Notamacropus eugenii: one gene and its partner. The protein of the gene in region 2 binds, or shares a complex with, the protein of the main gene of each other region. Links are inferred from orthologs where the notes say so. Each region holds a gene or a part of one and is shown on either strand. Other genes may lie near its edges.

What was found.
Region 1: the proteins of ATP8B1 (region 2) and TMEM30B are in contact, whole or in part, in a cryo-EM structure (PDB 7VGH), measured with the Homo sapiens proteins. The link is inferred for Notamacropus eugenii from reciprocal best matches to the Homo sapiens genes ATP8B1 and TMEM30B. Residues at the interface, in NP_001361314.1 of Homo sapiens: Trp362, Val366, Ser369, Ser370, Trp371, Tyr372, Leu373, Tyr374, Asp375, Gly376, Phe418, Trp421, Asp422, Leu423, Tyr426, Asp431, Pro433, His939, Trp942, Arg946, Tyr968, Phe971, Asn972, Gly973, Ser975, Ala976, Gln977, Leu1003, Gln1005, Phe1049; in NP_001017970.1 of Homo sapiens: Gly9, Ala10, His11, Gln12, Pro13, Asn15, Phe18, Thr19, Gln20, Gln21, Arg22, Leu23, Pro24, Ala25, Trp26, Gln27, Pro28, Leu30, Ser31, Ala32, Ala35, Leu38, Phe39, Phe46, Leu49, Leu53, Tyr109, Tyr111, Asn116, Phe117.

What each region holds. Positions count from the first base shown.
Region 1 is NC_092872.1:304,643,080-304,658,819, forward strand, and holds TMEM30B (cell cycle control protein 50B), read right to left. Parts: upstream 8,217-15,740; 5' UTR 6,562-8,216; coding exon 5,494-6,561; 3' UTR 2,430-5,493; downstream 1-2,429. UniProt on the Homo sapiens protein: Accessory component of a P4-ATPase flippase complex which catalyzes the hydrolysis of ATP coupled to the transport of aminophospholipids from the outer to the inner leaflet of various membranes and ensures the maintenance of asymmetric distribution of phospholipids.
Region 2 is NC_092875.1:432,473,167-432,489,098, reverse strand, and holds the start of ATP8B1 (phospholipid-transporting ATPase IC), read right to left. Parts: upstream 6,568-15,932; 5' UTR 6,424-6,567; intron 5,509-6,423; exon of another isoform or gene 5,305-5,508; intron 1-5,304. UniProt on the Homo sapiens protein: Catalytic component of a P4-ATPase flippase complex which catalyzes the hydrolysis of ATP coupled to the transport of phospholipids, in particular phosphatidylcholines (PC), from the outer to the inner leaflet of the plasma membrane.

The DNA of each region.
Region 1 (15,740 bases), on a different chromosome or scaffold from region 2:
AGCCCTGCCCCCACCCAAAGCCCTGAGGCTGGGAAGCAGCATTTGAGTCTCAGACCCCAGGTGCTGGATGGGTGGATCTGGAGGCGAGGTTGGGGTGGAGAGGACACTCAGAAGTCGTCACTGGCTGGGAAAATGCCTAGAAAAGGAAAAAAAAATAAGACTATAGAAGGTTACTTTCTTGGTGAACAGGCATTTCCTCCCTTCCTTTCTGATGAGGAAGAACAATGCTTACTATCAGGGAAAGACACAGAAGTCAAGGCTTCTGTATCCCAGCCCACTCAATGGGCTCAGGCCATGGAAGAGCTCAAAAAGGATTTTGAAAATCAAGTTAGAGAGGTGAAAGAAAAACTGGGAAGAGAAATGAGTGACATGCAAGCAAAGCATGAACGGCAGGTCAGCACTCTGCTAAAGTAGACCCCAAAAAATGCTGAAGAAAATAACACCTTGAAAAATAGGCTAACTCATTTGGCAAAAGAGGTTCAAAAAGCCAATGAGGAGAAGAATGCTTTCAAAAGCAGAATTAGCCAAATGGAAAAGGAGATTCAAAAGCTCACTGAAGAAAATAGTTCTTTCAAAATCAGAATGGAACAGATGGAGGCTAATGACTTTATGAGAAACCAAGAAATCACAAAACAAAACCACAAGAATGAAAAAATGGAAGATAATGTGAAATATCTCACTGGAAAAACAACTGACCTGGAGAATAGATCCAGGAGAGACAATTTAAAAATTACGAGACTACCTGAAAGCCATGATCAAAAAAAGAGTGTAGACATCATCTTTCATGAAATTATCAAGGAAAACTGCCCTGAGATTCTAGAACCAGAGGGCAAAATAAGTATTCAAGGAATCCACAGATCACCGCCTGAAAGAGATCCAAAAAGAGAAACTCCTAGGAACATTGTGGCCAAATTCCAGAGTTCCCAGATCAAGGAGAAAATATTGCAAGCAGCTAGAAAGAAACAATTCAAGTATTGTGGAAATACAATCAGGATAACACAAGATCTAGCAGCTTCTACATTAAGGGATCGAAGGGCGTGGAATAGGATATTCCAGAAGTCAAAGGAACTAGGACTAAAACCAAGAATCACCTACCCAGCAAAACTGAGTATAGTACTTCAGGGGAAAAATTGGTCTTTCAATGAAATAGAGGACTTTCAAGCATTCTTGATAAAAAGACCAGAGCTGAAAAGAAAATCTGACTTTCAAATACAAGAATGAAGAGAAGCATGAAAAGGTAAATAGCAAAGAGAAGTCATAAGGGACTTTACTAAAGTTGAACTGTTTACATTCCTACATGGAAAGACAATATTTGTAACTCTTGAAACTATTCAATATCTGGGTACTGGGTGGGATTACACACACACACACATGCACACGCACATGCACACACACATAGAGACAGAGTGCACAGAGTGAATTGAATAGGATGGGATCATATCTTAAAAAAATGAAATCAAGTAGATACTGAATAAAAATTTTTGATAAAGGCCTCATTTTTCAAATACATACTAAGTACAGAACTAAAGTCAAATTTATAAAAATAAGAGCCATTCCCCAACTGATAAATGGTCAAAGGATATGAATAGGCAGTTTTCAGAAGAAAGCAAAGTTATCAATAGCATATGAAAAAAACCCTAAATCACTACTAGAAAAATGAAAAGTAAACTAGCTCTGACCTATAGCCTCACCCTGTCAGAAATGACAAAGGCTGAAGGGAATAGGGGAAAAATAGGTATGCTAATGAGCTGCTACTGTAATGAATTCCATTCTGGAGAATAATTTGGAACTGTGTATAGCCTTTGACTCAGTAATAGCACTACTGCATATGTGTCCCCAAGAGATCAAAGAAAAAGGAAAAGAACCTATATATAAAAAAAAATATTTATAGCATCTCTTTTCATGGTGGCAGAGAGCTGGAAAGCAAGGAGATATTCATCAACTGGAGAATAGCAGAGCAAGTTGAGGCATATGATTTCAATGGAGTATTGTGCTATAAGAAATAATGAGGGGATTGGTTTCAGAAAAACATGGCAAGACATATAAACTGATGCAAAGTAAAGTGAGAAGAATGGGGGGGATCATTGTGTACAGTAACAACAATGTTGTAATAATGATTAATTGTGAAAGACTTGGTTACTCTTATCAATACAAATATCCAAGACAATTACAAAGGACTTATGATGAAAAAAATGCTGTCAACCTCCAGAGAGATATGATGAACTCTGAGTACAAGCTGAAGTATAATTTTCTCAATTTTTCTTGCCTTTTTTAAAAAAAAATACGGCTAACATGAAAATGGTGGGAGAGGGAGGGGGTTAAATAGATGGAAAGAGTTTGAAATTCAATTTAAACAGGAAATGTTAAAAATTTTAAAAAGAAAATCAAATGAAGGCTGGGCATGCAGTACACTAAATAAAGAGCAAATGTAAGGGAAACATGATCTTTATTCTCTTTCAGTAAACAAAAGAACATGAAAACTAAATTTTCAATTAAATTTTAAGAAGAAAAAACTGGTTACTTTTTAATTATACAGACTGATGGAACAGTCTAAAAATAACATTGAAATACAGAATTTTAGCTCCCTGATACAAGAAACACATACAGTAAACTCTGTTATCTAGTCAAATTCGGCAAATTGGATGCCTAAAAACCCTGAGTGTGATTAATAAAAAATCATATGGTTTAATAATTTTCACATTTTGGTCCGGACTTGTGCTTTTCATTGATGAAGGAAATTCCAAAGGATGAAATTCCCTCTAGCAGTGCAAATCAGAAATTGTCGATAATTTACAATGTTGAAGAGTTAGGTGAGGCACTGAAAAATTATGAATTGCTGAAAGTCAAATGGCCACTGTGTCCGAGGCAGGATTTGAATGTATATCAACTTTTAAGGTCAGCTCTCTACATTACACCATCACACTACCAAGATGCCTCTCAATTTTTCAAAAAAAAAAAAAATTAGGAAATAAGAATTATATTGAATGTAACTAAAAATGTCTTTGGTAATTTAGAATGCACTTAATTTGGGGGTCTTACAATACTTAATGGTGATTGCTATGGACATTAACATGATCCCAAGACCTATGTGCTATAGTGGAAAGAATAAAAGAATTACAGAATTTGAAAAGTTGGAAGGGACCTCAGAAACCATCTATTCTAAGTCATACATAAAAGAAATACCCATTACCCATTAACAGAGTTCTGGATATACGCACGCATAATGTCACCAGAATAAAGTAGGTAGGAAGGACATAACAAGTTTTTAAGCTTCAATGAATAAGTTACATACAACGATGCAATTTTTAAAAGACAATACAATTGTTTCTTAGAATTTTATAGAATCATTGCATTGATCACAAAAAATATTCAGTCCAAAGTTTAACAACTCTCAAAGTTTCAAAAGTTCAAATTTCAGTTTGCATCATCTTTCCTCAGCAATAATTTTAAACATGATAACTAGAAACATGTAACTTTTATTTAAGAGCACAATGAGAAGAGAAGCTGCTTCTGGGGTCCTCACAAAAGCGAAGCATTTTTGGCCTTTCCCATTAAAGTCTACAAAGTAATGAGAAGGCTAAAGTGTTCCTGTGAGGAATTGGAAAGAGAAACCTATTGAAACCTACTGCTTGCCTAGGATCTAGCAAAGCAAATGTCAAACACAAAATCCACAACTTCAGTTTCTATTACAACAAAAAATTAAACAGTTTGACTCTGCGCCCTTAGTCTGCCCTGCAGTCCCTCTGACTGGAATCGTTTAGCCTTTCTCGAAGCTATTTGGCAGACAAAGACTTCTAGAAAGTCAAGGATATTCTTATTTATAGAAAAGGCATGTGGCTGGGGTACAAATTCTCTTAAATATAATAAGACAAGTTAGTTTTGTACAGAAAAAGAGAAGGCCTGCCAAATATAAGCCTCATTGAGTGGTTAGAGTGCTGGACTTAGGAAGACCTAGGTTGGAATACTATCTCTGACCCTCATGAGGTATATAACTACGGACAAGATATACAGCCTTTTTGAATCTCTGTTTATTCATCTGTAAAATGAAGATATTGCCCGTTGCACTCATCTCATAGGTCTGAGGCTCAACTGAGATAATCTATGTAGTCTGTAGACCTTACATCACCATATAAATCAGCACGTATTAGTGGTATAATGCCCTAAGTTCAAATATTAAGTTAATTAGTATGAATGCTCTCCTGCAGACAGATATGCAAAAATAGCCTCACTCCCAATTACTGTTATAGAAACATGTCAAGTCTCCACCACAATGAACTATAGAGAATAAAAACACAAGGTTAATACTTCCTTAGGAAGTGAACAAAATCATTATTTACAAGGCACGATTATTATTATTATTTGGGGAGGCAGCATGATGTAGTGGAAAGAACAATAGGTTTAGTGTCATAGGATTTATTTTTTCCTACCCCAGCTTTGCCACCACTAGCTGTGTGATCTTAGGCAAGCCACCTCTCTTTGGGTAGCTCCTCATCTGTAAAATTAGGAGGTTCATGCTAGATGATTCCTAAAATCTGACTGTTTGAACCCTACAATCTTATTCACAACAGAATCTGTGGTAATGCTTCAGAAACCCGATTAACTTTCAAACAATAAAAGAAGGGGAAGGGAAATTTATCTGAAGTTCAGGTCAGTCATCCAATCACCATCCTCCAGAAAGCTCACAAGATGATGGAGAATGGGATGGGAAGGAGTTGTTTTAAGGGGGTAGGTAGTTTAAAGGACTGGTTAAGACCCAATTAAACGTCTGACGCAATTAAGAGAGAACTTTGGACTGCAGGCCTACCATTCAACCCCAAGCACAATTAAGAATTTTACTACAATGAAGGGGGCAGTAGAAAGGTGTTAAGGAGGTGGGCAGCTCCAAAAGCTAGGAAGATTTAATCCTCCCTGGGAAAGAGGTGGTGGGCGAATGTCCCTGGACTTTCTATCTTTCCTCCAAACAGTTCCACAGGAGCAATCAGGAACTGGATCATAAAGGAGATGGGATGGGTTGGAAAAGGAGTGTTCCTGAGGCAGGCAGCCCAAGGGCCAGTACAACCTCCAAGACAAGAAAAGGGGTAGTTTCCTTAGGCCTGAGGCCTACCCACCAGCTCCCTCTCGACAACCAGGAATCGGTGGGTGGGGAGGAGAAAGCTAATCTCTTTGAAAGAGGTGGAGGACAAACTTCCCTAGCCCACAGCTCTGTTGTCCAAGCAGTTCCACTGGAACAATTAGGAACTGGGTGGCAAGGAGGGTGGGAAGGAGTTGCTTAAACAGCTGCTCTGATCGGCTTCCAAACAATTAAAGTGGGGAAGGGGGATTAATTTCCCCAGACTTGAACCCACCAGCTGCACAAAGACAACTAGAAATCATTAAGGAAATTTGCGGGAGGAAAGGAACGGGTAAGAGGTGGGAAGGAAGGATCTAAGGTGTCGCAGAACAGCTCGGGGTGCCGGCAGGGCCGCGCCCGGGGAAGCCGCGGGGGGCCATCGGTCAGCGGTCCTCGTCGTCCCCGTCGCCGTCCTCGTCCTGGTGCCGGATGTACACGACCAGCATGACGAAGCCGGTGACGATGCAGAGGGAGCCGAAGGTCAGGTAGGCGATGCCCAGGAAGGGGTTCTTGCCGCCCATCCACGAGACGCTGCTGAAGATGAGGCGCTTGCGGCCGCCGAAGGCCAGCACCGGGTAGCGGTAGGAGATGTTCACGCAGTAGGCCCCGCGCGGCAGCCCGGCCGAGTAGTTGCCGTAGCGGATGCGCGCGTACAGCTTGCGGAAGGTGGGCAGCGCCGCCGTGCGCATCCACACCACGAAGTCCTGGTTCACGAAGCCCGTGTTGTTGGGGTCCGGGCTCAGCTCGTACACCGGCCGCGGCCAGTTGGGCGGCTTGGCCGTGCCCTGGAAGGCCAGCTTCAGGCTGCCGTTGACGGGCTCCGGGTTGTGGAACTTGACGTGGTAGTCCGTCCACCAGGCGATGCCGGTGCGGTCCAGGGGCACCTCGGCGTAGGCGCCGCCGGGCAGGCGCTGGTGCAGCAGCTTGAAGGAGTCGTTGAAGAGGCTGTTGGCGATGGCGCCGCAGGGCGCGATGGGCACGCCGTCGGGGTTGTACTGGTACGGGATGCACTCGTCGGACGGGTGCCGCAGCGCGCTCGCCACCCCGCTGAGCTGCGCGTTGTCTCGCGAGACCACGTAGCGGCGGTAGTTCTGGTAGAAGTTGGACAGTTCGTAGTAGAGGAACACGGGGCCCTGGAAGAGCTCGGGCAGCGAGAAGCACCACTGGCAGCTGCAGTTGGCGGGCGGCGGGGCCGTCCTCTCCCCGGCCGCGGCGCAGGCCGAGCAGTTGCCCGTGCCCGGCTCGCCCGTGTAGTCGTACTCCAGCTCCTTGATGCCGTTGGAGGAGTAGTAGAGGCCCAGGCCCAGGCCGATGAAGGCCAGGCCCACGCAGAAGAAGAGCGGCAGGACGATGCCGGCCGACAGCAGCGGCTGCCAGGCCGGCAGGCGCTGCTGCGTGAAGGCCGTGTTGTCGGGCTGGTTGGGCCCGGGCGACGTCGCGCTCCAGGCCATGGCGGCGGGCGGTCCGGCTAGCGAGCTAGCCGAAATCGAGGCCCCGAGGCCCAGCACCGGGGGGAGCCCGAGTCCGGCTGCCGATCCCTTCCCCCCCGACTCGGCCAGGTGTCCGCTCACCTCCAAGTTCCGCCTCAGCGCGGGTGAACCCTCCCCCTGGTTCCGCCCTCTACCTGCGTGACCAGCTGCACCCCACCTTCGGGGTCCAATTCTTCTGACGATTCCGGGAACCTTGGCTTCAGGTTTCAGGGTTCTCACTCCTCCCCTGCGGGTGCTGCCTGGGACGGTGCACACGGCTCTCCAGGTAGAAGGTGCGTTTCTGCCAGCAGGTGACAGGAAATCCCCGGCCCGGGCGCTCCCTGCACTGCCTTCTCTCAGCAGCCTTATCTTCTCCTAGTGTCTAGTGGCTGCTGCTTGTTTCTTTTCCTACTTTTAAGGTTCCATTTTAACGAGAAAGAGCTAAATTATCAGGGCGCCCTGTCTCTGTGGCTACACATTCCTTTTAACTTTCTGCCACTTAAAGGAATATTCGGATTACTTTCTGTTTTTCAACGGAAGGAAACTGATTTTCAGGTCTTAAGGGACCCACCTTCATTACTTAGCTAAAAAGAGACTTGGGATCCCCACCTTCACTCCATTTCAGCAACACACCAGGATGAATATACTTTTATTCACAAGGGAGAAAATTTCATAGATCTTCTGAGTTCCAGAATTTTTCAGACTCTTCCATGTCTCCCACTTTCTTATTTCTTCAAGAACAGTTCTTCACTTTTAACAAAACTTGTGGTTCCTCAGTTGCTCCTTGGTTTTTCAGTCTGATTAAGCTTGTGGTCAGCTACTTTCTTGCCTCCAACTTAAATCCCTTCCCTCTTTGACCTGCCAGCCCTGGGTAACTTCTGTCATCCACCTTTTCTGCTCTTTTGGTTGAACTTCCTGGTGCTATTGGAAGAAAGTATTATATCCTGCAAGACTGCATCAGTACAAATTTATGCTAACTGCCTTCATGACCTTATTTATCCTTTTGACCACAATTGTGTTACTTACCTAAATTCAAAATATCTGTCCATGCCAGAAAAAAAATATAAAAGGACTTGGGGCTCTCTCCCTTTTTCAACCCCCCTGTCTGTGTTATTTGATACAATAGAATGGTCCATTAAAACTGTCATGTAGGGTTTCAGTGTGAAAACCAAGGCAGGAAAAAAGGGAATTTTGATCTGGGCCAGGATAATGGAGAGTTCATAGATAAGACACAAGAAATAAAGGCAGGAAGCATCACTGAACACTTGTAACCAAGAAACAATTTTGAATCTCTCCATCCATTCTGGGCAAATTCACTGGCTGCCTTCCTCCCATGTCTGGAATTTTCTGCCTCCTCATCTGACTTCAAACTTCCTCCTGGCTTCAAGTTATAGCTAAAATTCCACTTTTTACAAGAAAACGTTCTTGATCTCCTTTAATGCTAGTGCCTTCCCCTGTGTTGATTACCTCTAATTTATCCTGTACTGCGTTTATTTGCTGTCTCCCTCCCTGTTAGAATTAGGAACTCATTTAAATAAAGTACAGACTCCCCACCCTCATCCTCACACACATACCTTGTATTTTTAGCTCTTAGCATACTACTTGGTACAAAGTAGGTACTTAATAAATTGTATTGACTGACAGAAGTGATTGCTTGTTCTCCAAGGAATAATAATACTCAGAAAGTAGTGTCAGGTGAGGCTACCCAGGTCAGAGAAAGAATAGATGAATAATGGTAATTGGCAACTCCCTCTTGAGGGATACAAAGGCAGCTGTTTTTTAACTTGTTTCATTAACAGAGAATTCTGCTATCTTAAGGCATGTATACATGATGTAACAGAACCTGTCAAGACTTGTCAAAACAGATTACTACTATCCACTTCCGGTGATTTGTGTGGTTCAAATGGTACTGCTGGAAGGAATCAAGAAAGTGTTGCCAAAGATTAGAATGTCTTGGGCAAAAAACTATCCCTCACAGGAGCACAGATGGTATTTTCATCACTGCTGCCTGTCAAAAAGCAGGAAATCAGAAAAGGAAAGCATATTTGGTACATGAGCAGCTGGTTAAAAAGTTTATCTAAGGATGAGATTTCAATTTGGGGGGTCACAACTTAGAATATAGGAATGTTTTGTATCTACCAAGAATGAATTTGCCCAGAGCCTTGCAAATTAAAAGAATTAACTGGCCAGAAACCTCTTTAAGTTAAAGAAAACTGCCTATGTACATTAATAACCTTAAATACTATGGAGAATAGCTACAAACTAGGAAGGGTAGCAGTTGAGGCAGAAATCCACAGAAGATAAAACCCAAGAAAGGAGTCAGTTGTAAAATATATGTCCTGGTTTGCCAATACACAAAGAAGTAACATATACATAATACACATAATAAGTACACTATAAAATAAACTAGAGATCCTAAAGCAATTATGCTAATTTAATGTCATAGGTGTCACTAAGACTTGGTAGGGTGGGTTCTGTGATTGGAATATGGTTATGGTTGGCTATAATTTAAATGAATAAGGCAATGGAGGGTTAGTCAGCATTGAATGTTAAGATATAATGCAGTGTACATAGGTGTTTTATATATATATGTACATATATATATATGTCCATCTATGATGACTCAGAAGTTTTAGTTTTAAAGCTTAAAACTTCACTAAGACTTTTGGGATGTACTGTATACCAACTGCCACCCACAGGGCAGGTGAGCCCACAAAACTACAAGAGATCCTTAGGGAAAGACATAAGGCAGCCTATACTAGGCAAGTCATACTGCCACCAGCATCACTACTACCATCCAGCACCATCTTTACCACTATCATTTCCCCAGCAGCCCTGATGGAGACAGCCCAGGATCCTGTACCCGAGAATCTTAAAAATAACAGTTTTCCAGCGCTATCCTGAGAAACAACCCCAGTGGAGATGAAGTCTGGCAGCTCCTGAAGGTTCTGAAGCTCCTGAAGGTCCAAAAGTTACTGCCACCAAAGTCCTTAGAACTGCCAAATGGTTCAATATCAGACACTGCTTTAAGCAATGAAATAACACTACAGATGAGGTGTTACCATCTACTTTGATGATGCACCCTAAGGACTATGGGAACTTTCCATCTGACGTGAAGCTGAAAACTTCTGTATTGTCTCCCCCATTAGAATATGAAATCCTTGAAAGCAGAATCTGCCTTTTCAATTTATGTCCCCAGCACTTGGCACAATGCTTTGTACATAGTAAGCACAATATGTGAGGAAATCCAGTAACTAGAGAGGAGGAAAGCATGATGGAGGTTTTTTGAACGACTACCAAGAGGCAGAAACAGACATAATTTTCACTGGAGTATACTATAGACCACTTGGACAGAAAGAAAATAGATACATTTGAGAAATATAACAAGCCTGACACAGAAGCATGCTGTAGTAGTGATGGGAGCTGGAATCTGCTGGAATGCTCTCTGCCAAAATGACAAGCAGAAAATAATAGAATGTTATTGTTAGAAGGGACCTCAGCATCTATCTTGTCCAACATCCAAAAAGTCTACATTATAACATCCAATATTAGTGGGCATCCAGGCTTGGCATGAAGATTTGCGAATGAGCAGAAATCCGCCTCCCAAGGCAGCCCATTTTTTCATATTTCTACAAAGTTTTAACTCATATCAAAGCTAAATGTCTGTCTGCAGCTTCCATAGAACTTCTGGTTCTATCTTCAGGAACTTAGAATAAATCTAATTATTTAAGGGAAAACAATTACTTATTTTTTTCTACTACTGACTTCTATATGACTACATTCTTACCCTTGAAACAGAACTTTCACTTAACTAAGTACAGTCAGACAAGACATATTAATCATGTCCAGAAAATGTGTTTGACACTTCTGGCATAGTGAATAGAGAGTTACCCTTGGCCTTAGGAAGACTCTCAGTTTAAGTCCCTCATCTGATACAGTACTGACTATGTGAACCTGAGCAAGTCCTTAAACATTAAATGTTTCTCAATATCTTCAAGTAAATTGCTTAAGTTTAAGTTGAAGAGAAGGTGCTGGTATTTCCTGGTTGATTCATAAATTAATGAGATCACAGATCTGGTATGTTAAAAAAAAAAGTAATATCTTTTGTTTCCTGACTCATATTGGTTATCCCTCTCATTTTGTGTCATTTGCAAATTTGATGAACTTGCATGCTGTCTATTGACCTTAATCAAGTCATTGATAAAAATCTCAAACACCACAGGAAAATACTTATTAGAACCCTATGGTACTATAATGAAACCACCCTCCCATCCCACCAGGAAAGTAGACATTGAACCCTAACAACTAACTACTTCAGTCCAGCTACTTGATTCAGAATTTTTCTGTCTAATCCACATCACTTCATCTGTTCCACAAGAACTGTATATAAAATTTTATATAATGCTTTGCAAAATATGAGAAAACTGTAGCATTCTGCTCTGCCATTTTGGTGATGTCAAAAAAAGGAAATAAGGTTGATCTGGCATGACCTGTCCTTAATAAACCCATGCTGTCTATTTGTAATCACTACTTCCTTTTTTTGGATGTTTTTAACTGTATCTTTAGTGATTTGTTAGAATACTCTGAGTATCAGTCCTGAAGTTTGAAGAATCTCTGCCTCTTTTTTAAAACTGGGACAGTCGCACTGCTCCAGTTAATTATGCCACTCACAACCATGGCTTTTCCAAACCATTTTCCCTCCTGAGACTTCTCATGGTTCCCTTCCCCCACCCTCTCAGTCCAAAACCTTGCCTCATATTTCACTGAAAAATTGAGGCTATTCACAAAGAATGCAGCTATTTCTTCTGTTTTACAGAAAGAAACGATCTTTCTCCTTCCTAAGGCAAACCTCTTTACATGCACATGTGATCAATTTCCATCCTATCTTCTTCAGCAGATTGCCCTCCCTACCATTTCTTTCTTTGACTAATCTTTAATCTCTCCCTGTCTCCTAGCCGCTTCTCTCCAGACATCCCCATGTCTCGCTCATCCTCAAAAACCTCTCATTTGATCTGTCCATCCTTGTTAGCTATTTTGTTCTATATCTCATTTCTTTTGATGCCAAATTCCTCTCCTCAAGAAAGCTGTCTACAATCAGTCTCTCAGTTGCCTTTCATCTCATTCTCTTAACTGTCTGCAGTTTGGTTCTGACCTCATACTGTAACCAAATCAGCTCTCTTCAAAGTTACTAATGACTTTATAATTGCCAGATTTAATGGCCTTTTTTTTAGTGGTCCTCATCCTTGAACTCTCTGCCACCTTTGAGACGATTAATCACCTTCTCTTTGATACTCTCTTCTCTCCAGGTTTTTGTGCTATTGCTCCCTTCTAATTCTCCTACCTGAGTGCTTCCAGTCTACCTTGATGGATCATACTAACCTTCAGTGTTCCCCATGTTTGTGCCCAGAGTCCTCTTCTTCTGTATTCTCATCTAGTGATCTTATCAACTCTCATTTCAATTATCTCTATGCAAATATTCATATCTGCTTGTCTCTAACCTCTCTCCCATCTTCCAGTTTTATATTGCCAGTTGCCTGTTAGACATCTTGAACTTGATGTCCTAGAGTCATTTTAAACTTATCAAATTCATCTTTCTTCCACAATACCTATCCTTTTTTAAATTTCCCTATTACTGTTGAGGGTACAATCATCCTCCCACTTAATCAGGCTCACAACCCATGACTCTCACCACCACTTCCCATATCTAATCTGTTGCCAATGCCTATCAATTTTACCTTCATAACATCTCTTATATGTGACCCTTTCTTGCCTTTGACACTGCTGCCACTCTGAAGTAGGCCTGTATCAAATCAGCCCTGGACTATTGCAGTAGTCTGATGATTGATCTACTTTTCACAAATCTCTCCCCACTGAAGACCATCCTCCACTCAGCTGTCAAATTGATCTTCTTAAAGCATAGGTGTGACCATGTTGTTCCCCCTACTGCTCCATTCAATAAACTCTGTTGCCTTCAGGATGATATAGAATGCTCTGTTTGACTTTAGAGCCCTTTTAACATCATCGCTTTCTACCTTACCAGTTTCCTTACATTTTATTTCCCTCACATACTCTGTGATCCAATGATACTTTTCTTTTCCTCATACATGACATTCCACCTCCTTACTCAGCATTTTCATTGGATGCTTCCCATGCCTGGAACTCTGTTCCTCCTCGTCTCTTCCTCCTAGTTTCTCTGGTTTCCTTAAAGTCTCAGCTGAAGCCCCATCTTCTTCAAGAAAACTTTCAAAGACTTCCTTAATCTTGGAACCTTCCCTCTAAAATTACCCTTACTTCATCCAGTACATATTTTATATGTCCATAGGTATTTGTATGTTGTTTCCTCCATTAGACTGAGCTCCTTTTTTTTTTTTTTTTTTTTTGCCGTTCTTTGTGTCCACAACACTTAGCACAGTGCTTAATAAATGTTCATTGATTGGCTATAGTCCTGTAGTATTTCTCCTTTCCTCTTTAATCTTACAAATGTCATTGACAACTGCTCAGCTATTATAATCACCATTTTCTTTACAACAGGAGGATGTAGTTTAGGTCAGGTGACTTTAATTCAAAAGTAGCTAAATGCTCTCTTACTATTTCCTTACCTTGGGCATCAACTTCACAGTTAGCCAATTTTGTTCTGTCATTGCCCATGCAAAAGGTCATGCATGTGTTAAAAATAAACCTCAGAAAATAAAAGTTGTGTGTAACAGCTAAGGCACTTGGGGAGAAGGGCAGTTCCAACGCTTCATCAGAAAAAACAAAAGCAAAACAAGAATTAAACAGCACTGCTTTTCCTGGTTGTTAGCTATCATTGTCTCATCTACCTGAAGCTGCAGTGCTCTCCTTTGATCTTTTCCCCACTCAATACAGCTATTAAAAACAAGACAAAATTCTTTTTGTTATCCTTAGCTCCCCCGACCAGTCTCAGATCCTTCTGAGCTTTAGCACTTGTCACAATTTTAATAGGACCATAACATACTTGTATCCTCTGTTAAGCTGTCTTCTGTACAAATCTTTTAAAAATTGAGGCAGTTTTGTGAATCTGCATTGGTCTCTTTAGGCAATCTCTATTTTTTTTCTTTTCATCCGAATTATTTCCTGTTGGGTCTTGAGAATTGTGTTTTTTAGAATTATCCTTCCTTCAGCTGACTTGCTCCTGCAGAATTTTAGTCTGTGAGATTCTGTCTTTCCTTCTTCTGAACTTTTTGAAATCTCTCCCCAGTTCAAGAGTTTGTGTCAGACTATGCCCAGCTTTTCTCTGTCACAAACTTTAGAAAGAAGTGGTCACTTCCCTCAAGGTTCCTATAATTTTCATCCCAACAATCGGTTCTTCCTTGTTCAGGAGAATTTCCCCTATTCATCCTTCATATTACATTCCTATGACACTTCTCTAATTCAAGAGCTTGCCATCGCTTCCCTGATTTCTTGCTAAAGACTCATAAGTGGATTTCCTATCTCATTATATTCCCTTTCTAATCTACCCTATATGTCAGTACTCAGTACTGAGCATAGTACCTGGCTTACAATAAGTATTTAATAAAAATGCATGGACAGTATGGTTTTATTGTTCTTAGGAATAAGCTCATTCGGCAATGGCCATGCCTGATTTTTTTTTTTAATTTTTAAAATTAAAAAAAAATACAAGTAATACCTAAAACATAGGTGCAACAGAATATTCTGATGGACTACATTTCTTAGCATGCCTGGGACCATAGCATGATTAAGGAAGTTCCCATTATTTCAGTTCCCATTAGACTGTCCTTTGGCATAGGATTATTGCATCACAAGGGTAATTGGAGCTATACAGAAAGCAAGAGCCAGGTCTTAGAAGCCAGGCAGCCCAAAATGTCCCTGAGGCCAACTTTTGGAAACAGAGAGATGAGGCAAAAGAACATAATACCAGCAGGAGCAGCAGTGCCAAAAATACTTGCATTGTAAAAGCTTCAACCCCCTTCATTCTAGTTCAAAAATGAAATCTTTCTCAGATCTTTTCTCATTTCAAAGATCTGAGTCTTGAAGAAACTGTTTCCCTAAGCTTCTCTACTTGTCTGGGAATGATGTGTTTTTTTTTTCCTACTGGTATTACTTTGTGATGCTGTCCTGATTAAATATTTCACTGTTTCAGTGTATAACCCTAACCAGTTAGTATGGGAAAAACTGAATTTGAAGTTCCTGAGAAATGAAGTGGGGGTAAATAAATCCAAAGAGGTAAGTTGTCATTCAATTGGACCTTGATCCATGTGAATGCAGAGATGAGTGGTGCACAATTTATATTGACATCCAATAACAATATAAATTTAATAATGTGTACTAGGCAGGTAAACTAATTGAATTTGTGATATACTTAAGGCATAGCACATATATTCTATTGTTTCAGTATTTGTAACTTAATTTCAGTTTAGCTAATAAATCTACTCAAGCATTCGCTTTACCTTTATTCAGCTTGATTGATGAGGTCAGTCAGATTGACTAAATGTCATTACGCTAGCAAGACTATTTTACAAAGGCGGGGTAAACTGTGCCACAGACAAGTCAACTACAAAGTTTGAAAGGCCCATGAACACTAGAACTATAAAAATATAAATCTATTCAAGTGATGTTATTGGTAATGTTGTTTAACTAATGATTGTTAGCATGACTAAGGTGAAAATGTATTTAATAGGAATGTATGTGTAGAACTTATAAAAATGTATGCTATCTCAGGGAAGGAGTGGGGAGGGAGGGCAAAAATCTAAGATATATGGAAGTGATTGTAGAACACCAAAAACAAATAAAATTTAAAAAAAGTTGAAAACATTGAAAAAAGTAATAAAAATACATATTTTGACATACTAAAAAACAAGCAAACTAATGATTGTTAGCTGTATAATGCCTGGCCTTTCACTCCAACTCATCCTAACACTACCTACACAAAATATCAGTGAATTGTTTTATTATGAATTTATATATGTGTGTATACACGTGTTTATATACACACTGTATATGTGTATATATATGATGTCAAATGATCTACCTTTGAATCCCATATATATTTTAAATATATGTATGTATATATCTGCATGCATACACACATGTTTATGGATACATATGTGCAAGAGTTTACAAAGGAACTATGATTTCATTAGTTTAAGAAATTGGTGTGAGAACCCCATTTGCCAATTCTG
Region 2 (15,932 bases):
ACTATAAATTGTCCCAGCTTGAAAGCCTGAGACACATCATAAAATGTAAATTTACAGTTCTGAAAGACTCTGCCAAAAGAGAAATATATTTCTTTAGATCTTAAATATCTTGGTTCAATCATATAACACTGAAATATGTGAAATATTAACTTCCTTCCCATTAGGTTGCTAAGGGAAAAAAAAACCTAGAATTACTTAGTAAGGAAGATCACGTAATCTCCTTCCTTTAACTGAAAGAAAAAAAAAAGATAGCCCTCTAATGGAGGGGGCGAACTAGCTAACTCACTCTGCATTATTCTACGATTTGCCCCCTCCTTTTATCTATCTTCCTTTAAATTATTTTGCTCATTTCCCTCTTTTTTTAAAATTCTAATTACAAAAGATTTCAAATTTGTCATGATTCTTTTGGGGGGGGGTGAGGGGAGAGAGGAGGAGAGCATTCCTTTTGCTGGAGAGCAATGATCTATAAACTGAAGGAAATTCATTTTATTTCCTCTATCATCTTTATCTTTCCAAAACAAGTTTCCTTTTTTACATGTTGAACAAGTGGTATTTCATTCTGTGCATACCACAAAGGGACTAAAGGTGGAATTACCTTTAAGGGAGCTGAGTGGTGCAGTAGATAGAATGCAGAGGCTGGAATCAGGAATCTTCCCGAGTTTCAAATCCAGCCTCAGATACTTACAAGCTGTGTGTGATCCTAGGCAAGTCACTTAACCCTATTTGCCTCAGTTTCCTCATCTATAAAATGAGCTGGGGAAGGAAATGACAAACCCAGGCAGAATGAAATTCAATAAGCATATGTTCATAAAGAAGCTGTATATGGGCACACACACCCTCTCCCACGGAATGAAAGTGTATTATCCTGCTAAAATAAAGATAACTAGTACCTATTCATTTTTCCATAAATAAGAACTTGAGACCCTATCAAAATTTCTATTTGAAAAGTATATTTAATTTTTATTTATACAAGTTATTTTGAGGTATTCCCTGTGACGAAATTGGCTCACCAACAGAATGATTAGGAATCTTCAGATATTATAATGAAAAGGCTTAATTAAGTCTTACTCTAGGTTATCACTTCAAGAAATAGCCAGAGCTCTTGGAAGACCTCTTTTTGGGATCCCTAATTCTTAGAGAAGCTGCCTGGAAGGGGTAACTATGAGAGTTATCCACACCTCTCACTTTCATATTTGACAGTATTCTAGTACTCTATTTGGGCAGCTAGGTAGTACAATGGATAAGAGCACCAGTGCAGGAGTCAGGGGACCTGAGTTCAAATCTCACCTCAGACACTTGATACTCACTAGCTGTGTGACCTTGGACAAGTCACTTGACTCCAATTGCCTCATCCTGGGTCATTTCCAATCATCCTGATGAATATCTGGTCACTGGATTCAGATGGCTCTGGAGGAGAAGTAAGGCTGGTGACCTGCACAGCCCTCCCTCACTCAAAAAACAAAGTCAAGGGCAAGTCATGTCATCATTTCTCTGATGGCATGGTCTTCTTTGGCAATGAAGGATGAACGAACATACATAAACACAGACACACGCAGACTATAAAAACAGAAGCTACAGAACTTTCACTGAATCACTAAAAACAAGTTATTCCCTATTCTTTTCCTGTAAAACTTTTACAAGGGCTACAATCCTACCAGATTGGAACTGTAGAGCAGAGGTAGATCATCAAATTAATATCTCTAGGAGCCAGAGTTATAATCATTAATATTTAGCAAAAAACCCTGGTTTCTAGAGATATACAAATAATTAATGCTTAGCTAAATCCAGCTTGTAGAAGTGCAAAACCTGAAAGTCGACACAAATATAAAACATATTCAGTTTGGAGTGGCTGTCTTCCATTCCTCCTCACTAACATCATGGAATCCCTGCTTTCTTGCAAAACTCATTTCAAATGCCACCTTCTGCAAGAGGTCTTTTCCAATTCCTTCAGCTGCTGCCTTCCTCTGATGTTAGCTTCCATTCAGTCTAGGGGTTCTTACCCTTTTTTGTGCCACAGACCCCTTTGGCAGTCTAGGGAAGTCAGTGCACCCCTTTTCTGGATGCTTTTGAATGCATAAAATGTACAGGATTGCATATTTATATTCTAAACTAGGTTGAATAGTGCTTATTGAATTGATTTTTTAAGAGGCTTACAAGCTCCAAATTAAGAAGCCCTAAGCTAGTCAATACATATCTTTTATACACCTATTTATTCTCCTCCCCACCCCCACTCCCATTAAAAAATAAACTCCTTGAAGATATTTTTCTTTGTATTCTCAGGGTTTAGCTCATTGTCTAGAACATAGGAAGCATTTAACAAATGATTGTTGACTTTTTAAAATATCCCAAAGTAAAAGAAAGTAAATACATACATGTATTTACATGCTGGCTGTTGTCCTTCGTTCTCGAAGAGGACCAAAATAATGTCACCACAATAAACTCAAGTTTCACTGTGTCTGACTGTGACTGATCAGATCAATATGTGCTCTAGCACAGGTTGGGTACAGATAGTCCATGTGAACATTTGGGGTGGATACTCCAAATTTGTGCATCCTACATTCACTTCATGCTGATTCAATTCTGCTTTGTTCATAGAGCACAGCACCCTTAATGTATGCCCACATATTTATATGAACCTCAAAAGCAGAATTCAGGCAAAAAGGATGGCTCAGTACAGTTTGAACCCTGGGTTAGTTCTGAAGTAAAATAGCAGAAAGTGTAGAACTTGACTGGAGTTAGAAGACTTGGGGTCCCATCTTGGCCCTGATGTTTTTTACCTCTATACCCTAACTTCTGGGGCTTTAGCATCTCCTCTGGATTAAATAGCCTCTGAAGTCCCTTCCAGCTCTCCATCTATGATTCTTCAGTCTTAGTTTCCTAGTAAGCAGTCGTGGCATTCACACTGTTCTACCATGAACATAGAACTCATATATACAATAGTTTACATCCGAGATATGCTATAAAAGTAGGATTCCTAAGACTGCAAGCTAGTTCAAGGCTTGAAAAGTTCCAAGTCTACCTTTTGATTGAATTCTGCTGGGTTTGCTTTTAAATATTGCTTATTTCAAATTTTCAAAAAGTACCATGAAATTACTAACAGAGGAAATAAATACAAGATATAGTTTTTTCCCCTAAAAATAAGAGGCTGAACCTTGAGAGTAACCAATATTAATAGTGACACCATATGCTAACTAGTAAATAACAACTATGACTAGAAATCCTGTCATTTATAGTGGCCACACAAATATCTAGCTGCAATATACTAAACTCTTTACTAATAGTAATTCCCAAAGCCCTTTATGGGGACCCCTTCCTCATCTCAGTCTCTTGGCCTCCTTCAAATCTCAGTTACAGTTCCACCATCTGCAAGAAGCCACTCCCAGTCCTCCTTAATCACAGTGACTTGCCTCTGATATTATCTCTAATTTATCTGGTCAACAGTTGTTTGCATATTGCCTCCCCTAATAAACTGTGACATCCTTGAGAACAAGAACTGTTGTTGGATTTTGGGGGAGGGGTGGCTTTTGTATCCCAGGTATTTAGTTAGCAGAAAGCCTGGAAGATACTAGGGGATTAATAAATACTTATTGTTTGCTTGTGTATGGCAACATTTTGTTTCATTCCATGTAAAAAATATGCATGACTTTCAGAAATTGACAAAATACCAGAATATTTAAAGCTCCTTAACTAAAAATGGAAACTCCCCCCAAATTTCATCACATAATGAAAGCTGTTAATCAAAAGAACCTTCATGGTACTGTTAGCATACATGATTTCTCTTTCTCTTTATTTGAAAATAAACCAAGTAATCATTATTGAATCACATACTAAGTTTTTCTATTGTACCAAGGACTGTATAAGTATTTAATAACAAATTTATAATAGCAAATGCAACAATAGCTCTAGCAACAATAACTATACCTTTGACCATAATATAAGTTTCAATTAAATAGAGGAGCAGGCACAGTTCAAGGCACTGGAAGTACACAGATGAAACTTACAGCCAGTTATTGGAGGGGTTGGGATGGTGGTGGTGATCTTTAAAAGATGAAGGCCAATATACACACAACTATACAGTAGTGCTTGCTTCTTCCACAATCCTGCATTTAATGTAAGATACACTCTCTTTAATGCACACCTTATCTTTCAATTATTTCAAAGGAGGTAGGAAGGGCTTTCTCATAGAAAGATCACTAGAAAGTCTTGGTGTAATGAAAGCACTGCATAGATAACGAACGAGTCAAGGAAGAAATAAGGTAAGTTCCTCACTCTGAATATTTTTACCCCTTTCAGGCCAAAGCTGAGCCAAAATGACTACAGGTGTCAGTTTAAGATGAAGGTAAGGAGAAGTAAAAAGCAGTTACAAAGGGATCCAAGATTAGAGGTATTTTCTTTTGCCCTTTATCTCCACGATATGCAATCTATACATTCAGCAGGTCTTTCATGGCCCAGTCACCACTATATGGTGCACTTGACACCCTAAGCACCTGGCGAGGAAAACCAGGGCAATTCTTTTTAGAGAGATCTATGTTTCAATACAAATTCTGCAAAGTTTTACATCTCCAAACGGTGGGAGGAAATGCTTCCTGACAACTCTAGGCATCAGGAACGGAGAAGGGGCCTTTTTAATGGTAGCAGTTGGAGAAGAAAAAATAAGTTATTGTTAAAATAAACTTTGCCCGTTGCCAACGAACCTAGTGGTGCATTCTTGGATTATCGGCAGCCACCCTGAGATCTGATCTGGGATCTGGCAGGTGTCTCCCTCATCCTTCCCTCCAGGAATTCATCTAACCTGCAGCTCCCCTTAATTTTCCCTCCGGTGAGCTCCCGAAACCTCAGCAGGGGGGTGCCACAGAACCCCACTCGGGCGCTCCCGGGAATGAATGTGTGGAAGCCGAGTTTAAATGCCCTTCCCGGAGGGACATCCCACAAGCGGCAGTCCAAAGAACTCCGGGTCCTTCCTCCAGTGGCTTTCAAGATTAAAGCACCAATTCTCATATATGCCTTTTTAAAAAGTAATGAGCAGATAGACGTGGAGTCCCCGCTCCCTTTCCCACCCTGGGCTGGGCAGCGGGATGGAACGATTCTGCCTCCCAGCGCTCCACCGCCTCGATCGCCCCAGCTGCCGGGGCATTCCCGACTCCCCGGGCCCTCCTGGTACCGACTTCCTCCTTCCAGGACCCCAGCCCCGGCAGCTGTCGCCGCCTCCGCCGCTGCCCGGGCTCCGCTCCGGGGACCCGAGCCTGGGGACACTAGGGGCTCCGGGGTGGGCGGGGGACGCTCCCGGCCCCGGTGGCTCCTTACCTGTCTGACATTCAGCGCCTCCAGTCGACTTTGGCACCCGCCGGGCTCCTCCCGTGTGCTCCGCCGCCGTACCTGCCCCCCGCCCCCCGCAGCAGGCTCCTTAACACTTCATGGCGCACCGCTCCTGGCCCGGGGCCCCGGGGAACGTGTGTCCGGTTTGGCGGCGGCAACTGCGGCTACTGCCGCTCTTCCTCCTTTCCAATGGCTTCTCGCCTTTCCCCCGCCCCCGTCTCTTCCCCTCCCTCCTCCTGCTTTCCTCCCTCCCTCTCTTGCCTTCCCTCTTCCTTGGTCTCCCGAGGACCGGACCAACAGGTTTCGCCGCTCCCCGGAGGTGCCTCCCCTCTCCCTACGGCCGAAGCCACCGCAGCCCAGCTAGACTGTGGCGAGGGAGCGAGACGGGGAGGGGTCTTCTCCCCCTCTCTGCGGGGGACGTGGGAGGGTGGCAGGGCGTGGAGCGGAGCCAGGTGGAATGTACAGACTAGAAAGGGCCGAGAAGAGAAAGCCCCCGCGCAGTCCAGGTGGCTTCCCACCCTCACCTTCTGCACCCTTGCTGCCCCCCCGGCCCCCCGCACTTAGATCCACCTCGCCTGACCCCCTACGCTCACCCCACCCCGCTTGGCTAGCAGCCCAGAGCCACTGCAGTCCCCTTCTCTCCCCCTCCTTCTCACTCTTGCTGGGACCACAGCAGCTGCTACAGCTCTCGGTTTACACATCGCGTCTGCCTTCTAAAAAGGCCCAGCAGCCTACACTGCCTCCCCGCTTCCTCCACCCCGAAACCCGCAGAAGGCTCGGCGAGAGCAGCTCCCGCTTTTACTTTTCCATCTGCTCTCAGGTTCCGCTCCACGAAGCCTGGGGCGGGTTTGTCAGACACTGAGCGCTAGCCACTGGGGAGCCCGGAGAAGGACCGTGGGGGTGCAGAGAAGGGGAGCAGGCTGCCCCATTGTGAAAAACAAAATAGGAGCTTTCCTTTCACATTCATGGCCAAGCGAACATAACTCATGCCAGTACTACAAACCTGCACAACACAAACAGCCCACAAGTAAATACCGTCTTCTGTTGTTTCATTGGAATTTGTCATAGAACCGACTTGGATTTGAACTCACTTCTATGTTTAGTTACCTGTATGACCTTGGGCAAGTATCTTCACCTCTCTGGCCTTAGATTCTTCGTCTCTAAAATGAGTTTAGATGGCCTCTAAAGTTCCTTTCAGCCCTATGTGTATGATCCAATAATTCCCTCCTCCATCCTTCCCAAAATAAATAAAGACTACTTGAAAGAAAGGATTTACTTTGTTATACCTGTTTGTATCCTGCCCATCTCTGGCCCAGAGTTGAGGAAGTAGATGTTCAATGTTCCCTCATTTATTCATTCATTTAAGACACATTCATTTAACTTTCTACGTGGTTATAAGACTGTTTTAAGTCTTATGAGTCTATACCCACATGGAACGGGCATTCTAGAAGTCATTAGGTGCAAATCCAGTTGTGCTAGTATATGTTGTCTTTTTCTTTTCTTTTTTTGAGAGGCAATGCTATTGCTGTCCCCTCTTCCATTGCCCACCCAATAAAAAAATATGCCCTTGTAACAAATAAATATGGTCAAACAAAACAAACACAAAGCCAAAATGCGTATCTCCTTCCACTTTTTCAGTCAGCTCTCTGTTAAGAAGTGAGATTAGCATCAGTCCTATCTAGAGACACGGCTCATCTCGTCTTTCCGTGTTCAGAGTTTTAAAGTTTTTCAAAGTTTTTTTCTTTATTCTGTAGGGTCGCTGTTATTGTATAAATTGTTCTGCTGATAAAAAAAAAAGAGAGAGAGATTTATTCAAGAAACAGGAAATGGCAGGAATTCAGGAAACCTAGATTACACTAAAGCTAGGTTGAGGTCAGGAATAGAGTATTTTGAATACTTGAGAGTATCTGAATGCCAACTTGAACAGTTCCTCAAAATCTTGAGACCAGTTCTCCAGTTATTTGGTTTCTCTGATCAGTTTAGTTACTTATCTGTGTACATGTGGCGTATACTCAGTTCAAAGTACGTTCCTTGAGGGCAAGTGCTATTGTAGTTCTTTGTGAGTTCTACACCCATTGGTGACTTGGACACAGGAGTGCTTTAAAAAGTTTGTTTTTGCTGAAATAAATTCAGCAAGAACCCATTTGTTTTTGTTTTTACAAACAGGGTAGTGAGTAATCCAAGTTATTTTATGAAGATTAATCTGGAATCTATACTAGAACTGTGCTAAACTAGAAGAGGGAGAGCAGGGGTATTGCTGTAGTTTATAGGAGATGTAATGAATCTCCACGAAGGTGGTGTCGAGAAGAGACAATAAGGAATGTGGCAGAGAGTACTGGATTTGGAGTCCTTTTTTGTTGTTTGATCATTTTTCAGTCATTTCCCCCTCTTCATGATCCCATTTGGGGTTTTCTTGGCAAAGGTACTGGAGTAGTTTGCCATTTTGTTCTCCAGCTCATTTTACAAATGAGAAAACTGAGGCAAACAGGGTCAGGTGACCTATCCAGGGTCACACAGCTAGTAAGTGTCTGAGGCCAAATTTGAATTCAGGTCCTCCTGACTCTAGGGCTAGCACTCCATCCACTGAGCCACCTATTTACCCTTTTGGAGTCTCAGCTTTGCATCTGAGTAAATTAAAAAAAAAATTCAACCTCTCTGGGCCTCAATTTTCTCAATTGATCACTGGAGGACTAGCTAGTCTTCTAACTCTAAATCCTATGAAATGCAAAGAGACCATGGGAAGGATGAAAGTGACAGGACTTCACAAATGACTGGATTTCAAGAGAAAAGCAAAGAGGACTTTGTAGCTTCTAGTCCAGGTGACTGAAAGAACAGAAAAAGGGAAAACTAAGTTGGTGGTGGAAAGAGTAGGTGAGAAAGATGGACATCTTCTGGTTGTATACCTGGTAAATTAAGTAAGATTATTGCCACAGTCATTAGGAAGATTTTATGTGGCTCAAGTTCTCAATCTACCTAACAATCAATCTACCCTGAGGCACAAGTTACCTTTCTTTATCTCCTGAGGATCCAGCTCTCTACATGCCTTCCTTACTAAGCCAAATTAAGACAGAATCAGCTTGAGTAGGAAGCATTAGGGACACCTGCAGGTCCAATTTGGACAGGTGAAGGCAGTCACAGGATAATTAAAGGGGAAACAGCTAGAAATGACATGTCAATGCACGTGCCACCACGAAACAGCTGGCCTTCCTCTCAAGCCTGTATTCATCATTAAGCAACTATCCTCTTTACTTTTTCTTGAAGTATTTTGACCTTTTGCCCAGTGAGTGAACTAGGAAGATGAGTCTTTCTGACTCCAGATCTTTGGTACTCTATTCACCTAGCCATGACACCAAAAAAGATGAAGAACCATTATTTAAAGGTGTGTTCCTTTTGTCACTAACCATAGACCTCAGAAATTCAACAGTCAGGAATGAAAATAAAAGGTGGGGAATGTGGTCTTATAAGAGAGTAGCCCACTAATGGAGGAAGTGAGCTTGTGTTGGTGGGAGGGACTTCAAAGGTAGATCTTTTAGGGAAGGATTGATTATAGGATCATAGCAATAGGTTTTTGTTACATTGCTTAGACAACTCTTGAAGAACATAAATTTACTGTACTCTCAAAAATAAAGCACAGAAAAAAAATCAGTCATTGTAGCTTCCCAGTTTTATAATGTCCACATAAATATAAAAAGGGGCTTTAAAAAACCATATAGGCTAATTTTATTTTTAAAGCAAGAGGATAGAAAATGATATCAGAAAAAATCATTAATTTGACATCTCCTTTATCAAACACATTTATCCCGGGGCAGGGAGAGTGGGGAGAATAGGCTAGAAGAAGCATTATACTGAGGCGGTCCCTGCCCTTTACTAAGGCACCCAGTTCAGAGAGTTCTTTTCATCTAGGGAAAAACTCCTCTTTGGAGAGACTATACTACTCGGGTCTCACTCCTGCTGCTTCTTTTAAAGAATATATTAGAGAAGTCAGAGGGCTTGGGGGAAGTTATTTGAGCAATAGGCATAAATCAAATAATTTTCCTTTTAGAGGCAGTTTGTTGGAGTGTTGGCAGAGAAGTCAGAAGACTTCAGTTTGAAGCCTGCATCTGACTGGATGACTTTGGGCAAGTCTGTCAACCTCTCATCCTCTAAAATTTTTTTCACTACGATCTTATAATCCTTCCCTAAAAGACCCATCTTTGAAGTCCATTCCACATACGTGCTCACTTCCTCTATTAGTGGGCTGTTCTCTTACAAGTTCACATCCCCTTTTTTTTCCTTCCTGGTTTTCTGTTGAATTTATGAGGGTTACAGCTAGTGACAAATGGAAACTACCTTTAAATAATGCTTTTTCACCTTTTTGATGTCCTGGCTAGATGGACAGAGTGCCAAACCTGGAGTCAGAAAGACTCATCTTCTTGAATTCAAATCTAGCTTCAGATACTTACTAGCTTTATTATCCTGGGCAAGTCACTTAACTCTGCCTCAGACTGAGTTGCCTCAGTCTGTAAAATGAGCTGGAGAAGGAAATGGCAAATCACTCCAGTGTCTTTGCCAAGAAAACCCCAAAAGGGGTCACAAAGATTAAAGCAAGGGGATGGCAAATGCCATGACTGAAAAACAGATAACTGAACAATGATGAACCCCTTTTGCAATGTGATAAAGCCTGTGGACCCCTTGTCAGAATGTCTTAACACATATAAAAAATTAATAGAATTACAAAGAAAACCAAATTTTAATGAAATCAAAACTATTTTCCCCATCTAAGTTCATGTACTCCCTAAAATCTATGGGGGTCCATGGACCCCAGGATAAGAACCTCAACTCTAAAGTCATTTAATAATCTCAGCAACAGAGAGCCCATGATCTTGTGCTTTCTCACTCCATCTCTGATGAGTTTCAGGTCACTTACTGAAAGTGTCTCATGATAGCAACATGAATTGATTTGGAAATTTGCTTCACATGACTCATTTGAAAGCTGACTTATTAGGCCTGGCACCAACTCTGATACCAGTGCAGCTTAGGTAATTCTCTCTCAAAGTTCCCAGATGGGTTTGGACACTTTATAGGGCTTTATTTAGAAACCACCCCTTATTTAGTAACCACACCTTTTCCATGCAAGCTGCAGGGGAAAGTCATTAAATTTAACAGAAGCAGTGGTTTCTAAAGGAAGGCACACAATGCTTTCTTTGCTTTCAGCAGCTCATAATTTCCTCCTGGTTTTTTTTTTCTTTCCTTGACAACATTTAGTAAATGAACCATTTGGGAGATACATTGGTAAAATAGACAAGAAGTAGCTACTCTTGCTGAAACTTAGGAAGTAGTTTCCTGGATTTTTTTTTCCTCTGTGATATTGGCCAAGGGAAGAAAGATATGCTTAAGAGAGCAGATCTAGGTATTCAGTTCCGTGTGCTTCAGAGTGTGGTCATTTAAGCCAAAGCGTCTAATGCTGTTGGAAAGGTATTCACACCTCAGCTTGTGCCATTGTTAAATTTTTCATGGCAGTCAAGATTAAGGCTGACTGAGGAATTCTTACAGTCATTGTTTCAGACTGGTTTTAGAATTGTAGGTAGGAAGTTCCATTCTGTGTATCTCTTTCTGAAATCAAAATCTCTGGAAGTTTCAGATAATCAGCTTTATTTTTTCCTAAATTTGATTTCCAAGAAGAATTTATCACCCCAGATGTAATTTGTTGATCTAGTTTTGTCATCTTTGGGTCCAAATAATTTTCTGAAATCTTTTTATATAGCTGGTTAGTTTGTTCATCTGTTAACTACTTTTGCTTCACCTTGAAACTTCTTTCACTCAGCCCGTAGTTTTAAATTAGGAAAATTGGCAGCTCATAGAAACAGAAGGAATGTGGCTCATCTTTTCCAAAAGAAGCAAGACATGAAACATCTGGTGTACACCTAGGTGATGTTTCAGTGACTTGTCAGTTACTCTGGTGACATCCAGCATGATGTAATGGAAAGAGCATCAGTCTGGAAGCTAGGAGTTTACATGACCTTGGGTAAGTTGCTTATGCCTCAAAGCCTTATTCTCCTCCTCTGTAAAATGGGGGTTGAATTAGAAGATCTATAAGTTTGCTTCTAACTCTGGACATTCTATGATTCTGTGTACTATTTATTAGAATCTCAGGCCTTAATGGCCTATTGGAAAAACTTCTGGGCTTGGAGTCGACATGACCTAGGTTCAACTCTGACACAGTAGCTATGTGACCTTAGGCAAGTCATTTAATCTCTAAGTGCCTCCAACAATTTTAGGATTTCTCTACTAAATCATATTGGTGAAAAGTGTTCCCACATAGATCACATTCCATGTCTTTAGACCAGAGTGGGGAACCTGCAGCCTGGAGGCCACATGTGGCTTTCTAGGTCCTCAAGGGTGGCCCTTTGATTGAATCCAAACTTCACAGAACAACTCCCCTTAACAAAAATGTGGATTCAGTCAAAGGGCCACCCTTGAGGACCTAGAGAGCCACATGTGACCTCGAAGCTGCTGGTTTCCCACCCCTGCTTTAGACCATAAAACTATAGGATTTAGGAATGACAAAAATACAGACAATCATAATATAAAACTAAACATGCTAAATGCATCCGATTTGGGAAAGTCATAAATGATGGAGGGTGTCAGGAAAGGTTTCCTGGAGGAGGTTCAATTTAAATTGGACTTTAACTACAGGATGATTGGGAATTTCTAGACAAAGTAAGGTGAAGTAGAGAAAGCATTCCAGGTATGGGGAACATGGAGAGTAAAGTCAGGGAAGTGTGGGATTTATACTAGTGAGGTTAAGTTGTCAAGTGTGACAAGAGCACTGGGTGTAGGAGGAGGGGTAGTATGAGATAAGGGTAGATAGAAAGGTAGGGTAGTGGTAGTTAGAAGAGTGCCTTGAAAGTTAGGAAAAGGAGTGTGAACTCCACTGAAAATTTTTAACTGGAGAAATGACAAGACCAGATCAACAAATAAGGAAGGCTATTCTGTCAACAACGTGAAAATTTGTTTAGAAGTAAGAGTGAATGGGGGTAGGAAAACCTATTCAGAGGCCTTGAGTGGTAGATGATTACTGAGTAGCCTGTTACTAGAATAGTGTGATGGTCTTCTAGTTCTAAACTCTAGAATATGGAAAGAGTCATGGAGGAAGATGGCATTGGCAGAACTTAGCAAATGAGTGGATGTTGATAAGAGAATGGAAGTAGGACTTTGAGGTTTTCAGTCCATGTGATTGAAAAAATGTTGGGAGAAAAATAAGGAAAAACTGACAAGATTTGGTAACTAATATGATGGGAGAGGTGAAATTAAAAGGTAGTTAATCTTGACTGAGGTTTCTGACATGGGAAACTGGGTGAAGAGTGTCACAGATAGAAATATTAAAATCAAAAGGAGGAAAAAGTTGGGGACAAGGGGAGGCAAACGTGTTCACACCAAGTTCAATGTTCTGTTTTTTCCTTCCTATGCACCAAAGCAATCTACATATTTTTCATTTTTAAAAATATTTACATAGCATGTTAATATCCCATCATTTGTTTGGCATTTTCTCAAGGAGAGGGGGAGGGGATTTGGGTAAATTTCGTTTTTTTTTTTTTTATCATAAATTGGGTTAAGAATATTTTCATACAAATCACTTTATTTTTTCCTTTTCTGGATCAAAGGGCATGAACAGCTTTGTAACTTTTATGTATGTAGTTCTATATTGCAGCTAGATGGGGAGTAAATGGGTTTTGGAGTCAAGAAGACAGGAATTCAAATGTACCTTCAGATTTACCGATTAGCTTTGAGATCTTGGGCAAGTCACTTAACCTTTGTTGCTTTAATTGCCTCATCTATAAAACAAGGATAATAATAACATCTGCATCTTAGTGACTAGTATATAATAAGTACTGTATAAATGTTGCTGCTATTATTATGATTACTCTTTGGTAAAATAAAACCAATTTTGATATATGTGTCCCTTTTTCCCCACAGTTCCACAAACGTTAGGTTGTTATGTTTTTAAAAGCACTTTGAAAATATTTTTAAAAACCTTTCATACATCTATTTCTGTTCTTTTTCAATGATCAGTTGCTGTTCAAATCTTCATTCTACAAATAACAATGCCCCCAGTGCAAGGAAAGTTTTATGAGACAAAAGCATGAGTAATCATTTGTCATCCCCATCACCGACACAATAATAAGAATAGTATTCAAATCATCCTATAAAATTAGGCCAATCTCTGCTACATAATGATCCAAATTATGTGGGGCCTTTTGAAGGGAGTGCTTACAGGAAGTCCTCATGTTAACAAGCTCACACACAGTTCTATTGAATTGATTTCAATGAAACAGACATTGATTGGTAATTGACTATGTGTTGGGAGTTGGGCCAAGTGCTGGAGATGCCAAGCCAAAAATACTGAGCTACAAGTTCTAACACGTGCCTTTTTAAATATTTATACCCAAAATTTTTATCTGGGGGGTCTCTTGTTTGTTTTTCTCCAAGTGGTACATTTAATATTTCTGCAATCTACTTAAGGTTATTCTGCAGTCCGGTCTCTAAAATGATAGTTTGTTTTCAGGCTTTTGCAGTCCCCCCTTTTTTGCTTCTTGCTGCCCCAAAGCTGCTGCCCCCTATTCCCACTACCTACTCAAACCTGTTCTTTCTACCTCTCCTTATTTTGTATCCTTCAATTTCCTGTTAGATAGAGGAGGGACGCAAATCTGATCAACTGATGTTCAGTAAGGTGTTAATGAATGATAAAGCACTAATGTGATACTCCTACACAGATAACTTGTTAGGAGTAGTCTGGTATGGGGGAAAACGCTGGACCAGAAATAAAGAGTTCTGGGTTCATATGGAGAAACAGAACTCTTTGGGGGTCTATTTCGCTGTCCCATTGGTGGGGCTACTTTTCAGAGGGGAGTCAAAGATTCAGGAGAAAAAAATCTATTCCTAACTCTGCCATCAACTTACTGTATGCAAACAGGACTGCTTTGACAGTGACATGTCAAAGTTATTGTATTCTTAAAAGGGAAAATAAGTTGTATGTGATAGACCCATGCAGTTTCATTTTCTATTCTATTTTGTATATGAAAATTCTCATTTTTCTTTGGTATTTTGTTAAGTTCAGAATTTTAAAAGAAACTTGTGTAGCTTTAGGTAGATCACTTCTTTGGGCTTTACTTCCTTCAATACATCTTGGCTGCCTCTATTTCCATGTTTATCTCACGCTCCTCCCCCTCACACACTCAGCTCCAGCCAAATTGTAGGATTGCTATCCTCCAGTTGGATCCTAGAAGTGTTTTTCTTTCTGTTCATTTCCTCTTATTGGAGTTCCCTCCTCCAGCCCTACATGATGACGTGCTATGTATGATGGCCCAGTTTAAATGTCCCTAATTAATCAATCAATCAACAGACATTTATTAAACACCTGCTGTGTGCTACACATTATACTAGGCACAGGGAATACATGGAAAAAAGTCTCTGCCTTCAAGAAGAAGAGCGATCATTTTTTTTGGGGGGGGGGAGACAACACATACACATATGAGTTTATACAAAATATATACAACATTAAGGCAATTTTGTGGGGGAGGCACGAGCAGCTGGAGGGACCTCCTGGAAGAAGTGGCATTTGAGGCCAGCTTTGAAGGAAACTGGGGATTATTTGAGGTAGAGGTAGAGGTGAGAAGGTCATATATTCCAGACACTGGGGACAAAAGCATGTAAATAGCAGGACTGTCATGTGTGAGGAGGATCAAGAAGCCTCATTTGGCTAGACCACAGGGTGCAGGAAGAGGGTAGTATCCTAAGGCTGGAAAATAAGGCAGCTAGATGGCTTGGTGAATAGAGCTCCAGGCCTGAAGGCAAGAAGACTCAAGTTTAAATCCAGCCACACACACTACTTCTGTGACCCTGGGCAAGTCATTTAACTTCTGTTTACCTTGATCCACTGAAGAAGGAAATGGCAAACTACTCCAGTATATTTGCCAAGAAAATATGATGGATAGTAATATGCTCTAAGGAATTACAAAGAGATGGACATGACTGGACAAGGCTGGAAAATTTGGTTAGAAGGAAGTTATTACTTGTGGTATACTCATCGTGACTTTTTACTTATTCTGTGGTGGGAACAAAAGACTTAAAATACAAAAGAAGAGATTGTCTTCTCCTAGGGCAGAATATTTTAACTTGGGGCCTAGGACAGAGGTGGGAAACCTGCAGCCTCAAGACCACATGTGGTCCTCTAGGTCCTCAAGTATGGCCCTTAGACGGAATTCAAGCTTCACAGTATGTTCAAATTCTGTCAAAGAGCAGCTCTTGAGGACCTAGAGGGGTGTCTTTGAGGCCACAGTTTCCCCATCCCTGGTCTAGGAACATATTTTTAAAAATATTTTGGTAACTCAGTTTCAATATCAATGGTTCCTTTGTAATCTCATGCATTTTATTTTATGCATTTAAAAACATCATTCTGAAACCTGGAAAGACTTACATGAACTGACGCTGAGTGCAGTGAGCTGAACCAGGAGAACATTGTACGTAGTAACAGCAACATTGAGGGATGATCAGTTATGACAGACTTGGAGCTTCTCAGGAAAACAATGATCCAAGACAATTCCAAAGAACTCGTGTTGGAAAATGCTATCCACATC